2 linked regions of the Drosophila melanogaster genome follow. The protein of the gene in region 1 interacts with the protein of each later gene in a pairwise test. Each region holds a gene or a part of one and is shown in the gene's direction. Other genes may lie near its edges.

What was found.
Region 2: the proteins of CG1092 (region 1) and CG8187 interact in a two-hybrid assay, tested with the Drosophila melanogaster proteins (one large-scale study listed by BioGRID).

Annotation. Positions count from the first base shown.
Region 1 is NT_033777.3:4,264,846-4,269,015, forward strand, and holds CG1092 (uncharacterized protein), read left to right. Parts: upstream 1-1,924; 5' UTR 1,925-2,128; coding exon 2,129-2,360; intron 2,361-2,415; coding exon 2,416-3,368; 3' UTR 3,369-3,471; downstream 3,472-4,170.
Region 2 is NT_033778.4:15,538,872-15,543,113, reverse strand, and holds CG8187 (uncharacterized protein), read left to right. Parts: upstream 1-1,750; 5' UTR 1,751-1,841; coding exon 1,842-2,414; intron 2,415-2,473; coding exon 2,474-2,657; intron 2,658-2,710; coding exon 2,711-3,084; 3' UTR 3,085-3,176; coding exon of another isoform or gene 3,177-3,536; 3' UTR 3,537-3,560; downstream 3,561-4,242. Other genes in the region: eIF2Bgamma (eukaryotic translation initiation factor 2B subunit gamma), read right to left, coding at 1-156, 210-360; Vha36-1 (vacuolar H[+] ATPase 36kD subunit 1), read right to left, coding at 837-1,577; CG30467 (uncharacterized protein), read right to left, coding at 3,177-3,536, 3,595-4,242.

The DNA of each region.
Region 1 (4,170 bases):
ACATAATTTTAACTTGGAAATTATCAAAAATTGTATTAAATCAAAACTGTATAATTAATAGAGAAATTATAATAGAAGGAGACAATATAATAAAAGCTTTTAATTGTTCTGTTCAAATAGAAAACATATTAATTACAAGCACAACACTAGACTACACACAAACGGTCTATATCAATAACAATGTAACAAAATTAGAACCATTATCATATCTAAATGCTAAAGAAATAATTAAAGAACACACTAATACATACAACACATTACAAATTATTACATTAACTATACTTGCTATTATAATACTTACACTTATACTATATTTTATTTATAAATATAAAGGCATTCCCAAAAAACTAATTGTTAAATATAAAAAAGAGAATCCACAACAAATAGAACAACAAAATAACACAACAACAGAAAATATAAATACAGTATTTGATACTAATCCTGTATTGTATCCTAGAATATCCGCCTGAGGACAGGCTAAATTTAAAGGATGGGGAAGTAGCATATGTGCCATAGTATAAGACCACATATACTTACACACACACATACATAACCACATAGGAACAGCCATACACAAAATCATAGAATGCCTTAGGATATAAGTCATAAAATCATGTATCCAATAAGAACCCAAATTCTGGTGACAATAACAAATCCAGCCTACCCTAATGTAAACATTAACATCCGCTGCCGAATCAGTTATTCCCACCAAAGGGTCAAAACCGCTTACGCAGCTCAAGTTCTCGGCTGATCAGTACCCATGAGTGATCCACTCAAGAAGGCACCCAATCCAACAGACATAAACATCCGCAGCCGCATTCGCGACTCCCACCAGAGGGTCAAAACTGCTAACACAGCTTTAAGGGTCAAAACTTTCCACGTAGCTCAAACTCGGCTGATCTATATCCATGCGCAATCCACTCAAGAGAGCGCCTAATTAACGTAAACATAAATGAGAGCCTATGTACGCTCAATATGAAGAAGTAAATAAGCTCAGCCAAGGGTTTGCTAAGCGTTCGCTTTGCAAATTAGATTTAGATTTTATTCATACTTCAATTGTGTAAGACGTGAATTTGTCTCCGACATTCGCTTAAGTTTTTGATCAATAAAAATACTTTTTTTTTATAAACCAACAAATATAATATAATATATGTATATTATGTATGTATATGTATATTTAAATCATTCCTTTCATAAGCAACTGCACACTGTTGTCTACGCTTAGTCAGATATAACTCGTAATACTTGTGAAACGATGCAAAGCCCATATTCCAGAATAGCGCGATCGTAAAAACAGTGGGAGAGAAATTTTCCTGATAGGACTTGACATTCTTATCGCTTCGGAAATATAATTAAGCATAGGAACTCACTCACTGAATTAAAATAAGACCTCGAATTGAGCAATGCACTGTGGTGCGAGTGTAATAAGATCATATATAAATCCGTTCTAATAATTCAACAATATAAAAACAACAAACAACCCGAGAACTTTCGGGTGTTTTTGCATTTTCAAGTAAAAATGATAAAATAGGAATGTGAGCGTTTAATTGGTTTTTAGACCGTTTATATGTGCGCGATAAAATAAAAAAGGTAAAACGGTAAAGATTGATTATTGTGATTTTGGAGAACTGTTTGTAACTGTCTGCAACAAAACGTTCTTCTAAAGTCCGGATAAATTTTTGGTTAAACACGTTGAAGAAGCATAAGTTGAAAATGTTGAAAACACACCATAAAAACATATACTGAGTTGCACTAATAGGGCATTTTTCAATACTATCTATGCTTTTCAAACGTTCATTATGATAAAAATAAATTATGTCAATGTCAGCCCACAATCATTTAATTATTGTCCACTTGGACAGAAAATCTTTTTAAATATTGTCAAAAGTAATAAAAAAGTTTTTACTAAAAATTGAAACATTCAATAAGTTATTTTAGTTATTTAATACCAGGGGATACGGAGTTTTGTGCTTACATTTCAATTGAAGTTAAATAGTTTCGTTGCCCAGTGATAGACGTATTTGAAAAGTGACTCTCTCTCGAACTACTGTGCAACGAAATCCGACATCCGTTGAGGGGTCCGATAGGCTGGCGCAAAAGCTGGGTTGCCAGTGACTTGAGCTCTGCGATGACAACCTCAAGTCTTGCAATCGGCGCATCCGTAGCGCTTATTCTGTTGATGTTGACTGGTTCAGGGCATTGCCAAGTGGGATACGTGCGGCACCTGTCGGAGCTGCGGATAAGGGAACTTGAAAAATTGTCGGTTCGTATACAGGGCTCCATCAACACCGAAAAGTATGCCTGCGAGAGCTATTTCGACTACGTCTGTAGCCGCAATCGACCCCTCTTTTCGATCATGGGTAAGTGAGGAAAGCCTGTGTTGGGGGAGTGCCTAATGCATATACCCTATCCAAGGACACATGCCGCAAATGGGCGATCTTATGCAGTTGCTGACCGAGCTGCAGAACGATCCAGAGCCATTCGAGGCTAAGCAGAAGACGCTGGACTTCTTCATCTCCTGCAACGTGCACCACGCGCTGGAAGACTGCTATCGTGAGACCTATGAGTATTTCAAGCCACTTTTCGGGTATATAGTTACAAAAAACATGCTCAATGGAGAATCCCACGAGCTGGATGACTTTCTGGGCATTTTGGACCGCTTCGTCGTCAGGTTTCAGAAGGACAGAGAGTCGAATCCCATTCTCAGCAAGCTGGCCACGTATAAGCAGAAATTTAAAACGCCGCGAGTCTACTTCCATGCTAGAGACCTGAGCCGGGAGTACAAGGACCTGCGGATCTACCGGGAGAGCTACGAACACAACGTTCGCAATCTGGAGCAGCACAGAAAACTGAATTCAACATACGAATTGGGGGTTCAGCGCACCATGCTGGATTGGAGCATGTACCTCTTTCAGAGCCGCAACAAGCCCATGTCCTACTTCTACTCCACGTTTACGGTCCATTTGTACATGATGCTTTTTAATAGTCTGGAGCGTCAGCGTGATTTCACGCGGTTTCGCGAAGATGTGGAGTGTTTAAGGCTGCCGCAGTTCGTTAATGTTCTGGATGAGGCCAGAATGCTGGCTGTGATCTACTTAAAGAGCTTCCGAGCGGCCTGGATAGACTACAGCGCCTGGATCAACTCGCCTCCACAGAACAGTGGGATATACGATCAGGAAAATGGCGTCCTTCAAAAGTACCATCTTGACAACAAGCGTATATTTTTTACTCTTTACGCTCAGAACTTCTGTGAGTTTGGGAAGGATCTGGCCGAGCATGTCTTCTATCTGGGCCTTAAACAGAACAAGGACTTTTACGACATATACTCTTGTGGATTCCAAACGGAAAACCCTATGACTTGTGTTTAAAAGATCAAGACCATTTCTACCATATATTTAGTTTACGAGATACAATAAAAGCAATAACATTCTCATAAAGGTGTACAAACCATTTGAAAAAAATGGCTTTCACTAAAAAACAAGCGAAGTTAAGATACCCAAATATCAGATACCCGTTACTCAGCTAGTGAAAGAGCAAACGAGAAATTTCTTCCATATCGATTGAAGTTGGGAAAAAAATAAAAAAAAGAAATATATAATAAAAAATTTTGAAAGCGTGGGTCATGCATACGGGCGGCTTGTGGCCAAAAACTGAAATGTAAAACAAGAGAGAATGCTTAAGTCGAGTTGCACGACTATCAGATACCCGTTACTCAGCTAGTGCGAATGCGAACGCGAAATTTCATAATTTTTCTGGGATATCGATAGATGGGGAATAAAATGAAAAACAAATTAAAAATGGCTTAAAAGTGTGGGCGTGACCGGTTTGGAAGCTTAAGGTCGTTAGAGTGGACGTGAAAAAAATTGTTTGGCTAACCGATAGAATATTACAAGACTTATAAAATTATGAAAAAAATGTAAACATTTTGCAATAGTGTGGGCGTGGCAGTTTTGGGCGGTTTTAGGGCGTTAGAGTGGGCGTGGCAAATTTTTTTGGCAAATCGATAGAAATTTACAAGTCTAATAAAATTATAAAAACATATCAAAACATTTTTCAAAATATGGGTCAACAAACTTGCGCTGCCTCTATGTCTTAAGAATCTGTATGCTTAATCTCAACCTTATAGTACCAGAGATCTCGACGTTCACACAGACGGACAGACAGACGGAC
Region 2 (4,242 bases), on another chromosome or scaffold:
ACTTGATCTTATCGTATATGTAGCGCAGACTGTCGGCAGTTCCGAAATCCCCGTCACTAGGAATCGTGGCATAGTCCAGTCTCAGCTTTAAGGGAGTGTTTTCCAGAGCAGATTGGATCTCTAGTTTTTCTTGCTCCAGTACCACAACAATGACCTCTGAAATATTTTTCAATTAAATCCAGGTTTTTAATTCAGACTATCCGAATTACCTGTAAAGTTGTGTTGTTGCAGCAGATTTAAGGGATACCAAATCAGAGGATATGGACCCACCGGCAGCAGGCATTTGGGGGCATCCCCCAAGACCTCGGGTAGACGAGTGCCACGCCCAGCGGCAAAAACTACGGCCTGGAACTCGGTCATTGTTTCACAAAAATATAAATAATTTCGGCTAAAAAGCGTGCAAGCACAAAAAGAGCCACGCAAACAGCTGATCCAATGCAAGCGAAACACCTACGAGCGCTGTCCAACACTGCTTCCAATCAGACATATGTTTGCTGTCATGTGACTGTGCAATTGTTTTTGTTGCTTTTGCTATTGTATAAAACAAGTCAGATGACCCTTTTTGCAATGAAAATTCCCTTTTTCCACTTAATTATTACACAGAATGCACATCGTATGATACAACAAGACTTTAATGCATGATTTGCGCAGCTTACACTACACTACAAAAATGGAATACATACTTTTCTGCTTATTGGAATAGTCTACACACTTTTGCTACATAGGTACAATTAAGTTTGTGGCTTGCCCTTTGCGAATTACAATATGGAAACGGATACAGAACAGAAAATAGTTTAACAATAATATTGCTGGAATAAACACATCCAAGGTAATACTTAGAACAGCACGTCGTCATCGCCCTCATCCAGGATATTGGCCTGCTGGCGCACATCGATGCCCTGCTGCAGCAACTCCGCCTTCTTGGCGTCGGCCTTGATGCGTGCCTCGCGCTTCTTGTCCTGGATCTTCTTCAGTCGGTAGAACTCCTCACGCTCGAGCTCGTCCAGCTCCGAGATGATGTAGGCCAAAGTCCTATCGATTCGGGGGATGATCACATGCTCAATGGCGTTCACACGACGGTTGGTGATCTTGATCACCTCGTCCAGGGTGACGAATGAGGTCTGCAGCGAGGCCAGCTCCACGAGCAGTTTAACGGCGCTTTGGTAGTTCTTCTTCAGCTTGGCCAGCTGCTGACCACCACGGGCTAGACCGGCCAGTTCGTAGGTGTCGGATCCGTCCTGGTAGGACTCGAAAACGGGCAGAGTGACACCAGCCACGTTGTCCTTCTTGGTGCGGATCTTGATCTGGGCCTTGGTCACGTTTTGCAGCACCACTTGGTTGATGTCGCCAGACGTGAATTTGGCCTCCGCCAGCGAGAAGGCTGCCTCTTTCATAACATCACCCATCAGGGTCTTGGTCTCGATGATCTTGCCCAGAATCAAACGGAATCGCATCTGCAGGGCATCCGCCTTCTTCTTGAGCAGACCGTGACCTTTCTGGGCTCCAGCCAGACGGGCCTTCATCAACATCTGGGCACCACGGGACGGGAAAATCGGTAGCCTATCTTTTCCGGACATTTTGCTGTTTTTTTCGGATGGTAATTGGCTGGACTAAACAATTTTCAACTGCGTATCAAGAAAACTGCAACCGTCGCAGAACACTGAAAAACTCCAACTGGAAAATGACGGATGACAGTGTTGGCTACTGCCCGTAGCCAATCGATAACCAGTTGGTGCTGGGTAGTGCGCTTAGATACAGTACTGCAAAATACGCAGCCACAGCTGATTTTGCATTTAAAAGTAAACAAATCTAATAAATTCCATTTCTTTATTGGATTTATAATGCTTCTGCAACGCGTGTGGTTGACACATTTAAACAACCATCTACGCCAATACGCGAACAAGTCGCGAGCCCACATCAAACCAGCCATGGCCGTGAGCATGCGGATGGTCCATCAGGAGATCCTGCATTATGTAAACCCCTTTGCCAGGATCAACGTGAAGTCCGATGTTTTCCTGCGCATCCAGCCCGCGGATGTGCATCAGTATACCAGCGGGGATGTGTTTATCGCCCAACTGGTTGGCGGCCATGTCAAGAACTCGAATGTCTCTCTCGATGTGAAGGTAACCGATGAGGACAAGGTGGTCAATGTGGTGGTTAAACAACTGGCGGAGCAGCCCTCAAAGCTTGAATGCCATCTGCAAATACCTGTGCGTTCCGATGTCTCTGTGGACGCAAAAGGTAGTGTGCGAGTGGAAGGCATACAGAGTGAACTGCTGCAAGTCAAAGCAAAGGAAGGCATCCTTACCAAAAATATCAAGGCCACCCATATAAACTTGTACAGTGAAAATGGCAACATCAATTGCCAGGGCACATTGCTGGGCAAGATTACCCAAATAGAGTCACAAAATGGGGTGAGAAAAAATTTACTATCAATCTGATCTTATTATTAACCTTTATATTTCTTTTTTAGAACATTGCGATGGATAAGTTGCAAGGAGACAGCTTGAATTGTTCCACCAAAGCTGGCAGTATTGTAACCGATTGTTGTTATGTGGAAAAGTCAAAGTTTCAGACACAAACTGGGCGTCTGGAGCTCAAGAATGTCCACAAAAGCAGCGAAGTGCACGTCCATCAGTCGTCGGATCTCAATATGAGTATGCGAAACAACGAAGAATAACACCATCATGCTAAAAACTTTCAATTTCAGCTGGAGTACATGGCAATATTCAAATAACTACCAAAGGAGGAAATTTAAATGTCCAACTCTCTGAGCTAGTGGGGAGCAACAAAATCGACGCCGAGAACTTATTAGAAGAGGCTATCATACACATTTCCCAAGCCATAGAGCAGAATCTTCACATCGAGGTAACAGCCCCCGAAGTGAAATTGGAAAACGAACTGGAGCATGTAGCCCATGCTCTCAACGAGAGCAAGAACAAATTCGTGCTAAGCAATCCAAATACAAATCGACTGGAAGTAAGCAGCACAGGCGACAAGGGCGTGCGCCTGGGAAAACAGTCATGGAGCGATATGATGCGTAATAAGTTGAAGGCTACCGGCACCTTGGACGATTTACCTTAGGTAAAGACAGAGACTAACTAAGTTAAGAATATATTGTGCTGCAAGCTACAATCTCAGTCATTTTTGCTTTATCCATCATGGAGGCATGTTGTTTAGGCTTGGCCCGACTCCTTAGCCACTTTATCCTTTAAGCATTCAAGTGCCCTTGAGAAAATGGCTTCTTCCTTTCCGGCTTTGAGTGCAGACACAAACAGTTGCACCTTTTCATCGCCAATCTCTTGGAGATCCGAGTTTTCCGCTTTTATCACCATACATGCCAACAGGCGCAGCAACTTCAAGGCGTTCTCCACATACTGCTCCTTTGGAGCGTCATCCTCCTCCTCTTCGTCCTCTTCGAACTCATTGGCGTCGGGATCACTTCCCCCCGTGTAGTTGTCAATGTGCTGTTTAAGTCTATACCACAATTCCAAAAGATTTAAGAAGGCCTCCTTGTGATAGAAGTACTTCAGGCGCTGCAAAAATAAATATTTAAATAGAACGTCGAATATTAAGTATCTTTTCCAAACTTACACTCCAAATGTGCGCCAGATCCTCGAGATACTCCTCCTGGCGTTCGCCTAATGGAATGAGTTGCAGAGGCTGCTGCAAAAACTGCAGTATTCGCGCTAGACAACTGACTATACTGGGTGCATACACATCCATGGAGGCCTGCGCCTCTGGCAGTTGGACCAGAATGGTGCATATATTGAGGTAGGTTTGTATGATCTCCACATCACAGGTTATTTTTGGTCCGCACGAGTCGTAACCGACGTCGGCATCTTCATCACTGTCGTGGGCCGCTGGCACTTCTGCATCTTCGTTGTCCTCGCCAGCTTCCTCGTCGGTCAATTTTGTCTGATCATCGCGCATGAGTCGCAAAAACGCGCTATTGACCCCCTCGCAGAGTTCTGGCACTAGAAAGACCTCCGCAAAAGGCTTTAGATTCAACGTGGAGTTTGCGTTTTCCTCCTCCACCAAGGCGCAACTGGCCAGCACAGCATTTGTGGCCTTCAGTGCAGCTACTAGCAGTTCATCGCTAACGGACAGTTGCAATATCCTGCCCAGGTTCTGCGCGGAGTTCTCAAAGGCAGCAAAGCAGATGTACCAGTTCACAGCGAACTTCTCCTTGCCGCTAAGCACATGGGCCATGATGTACTGAAAGAGTCGCATCAGCTGTAT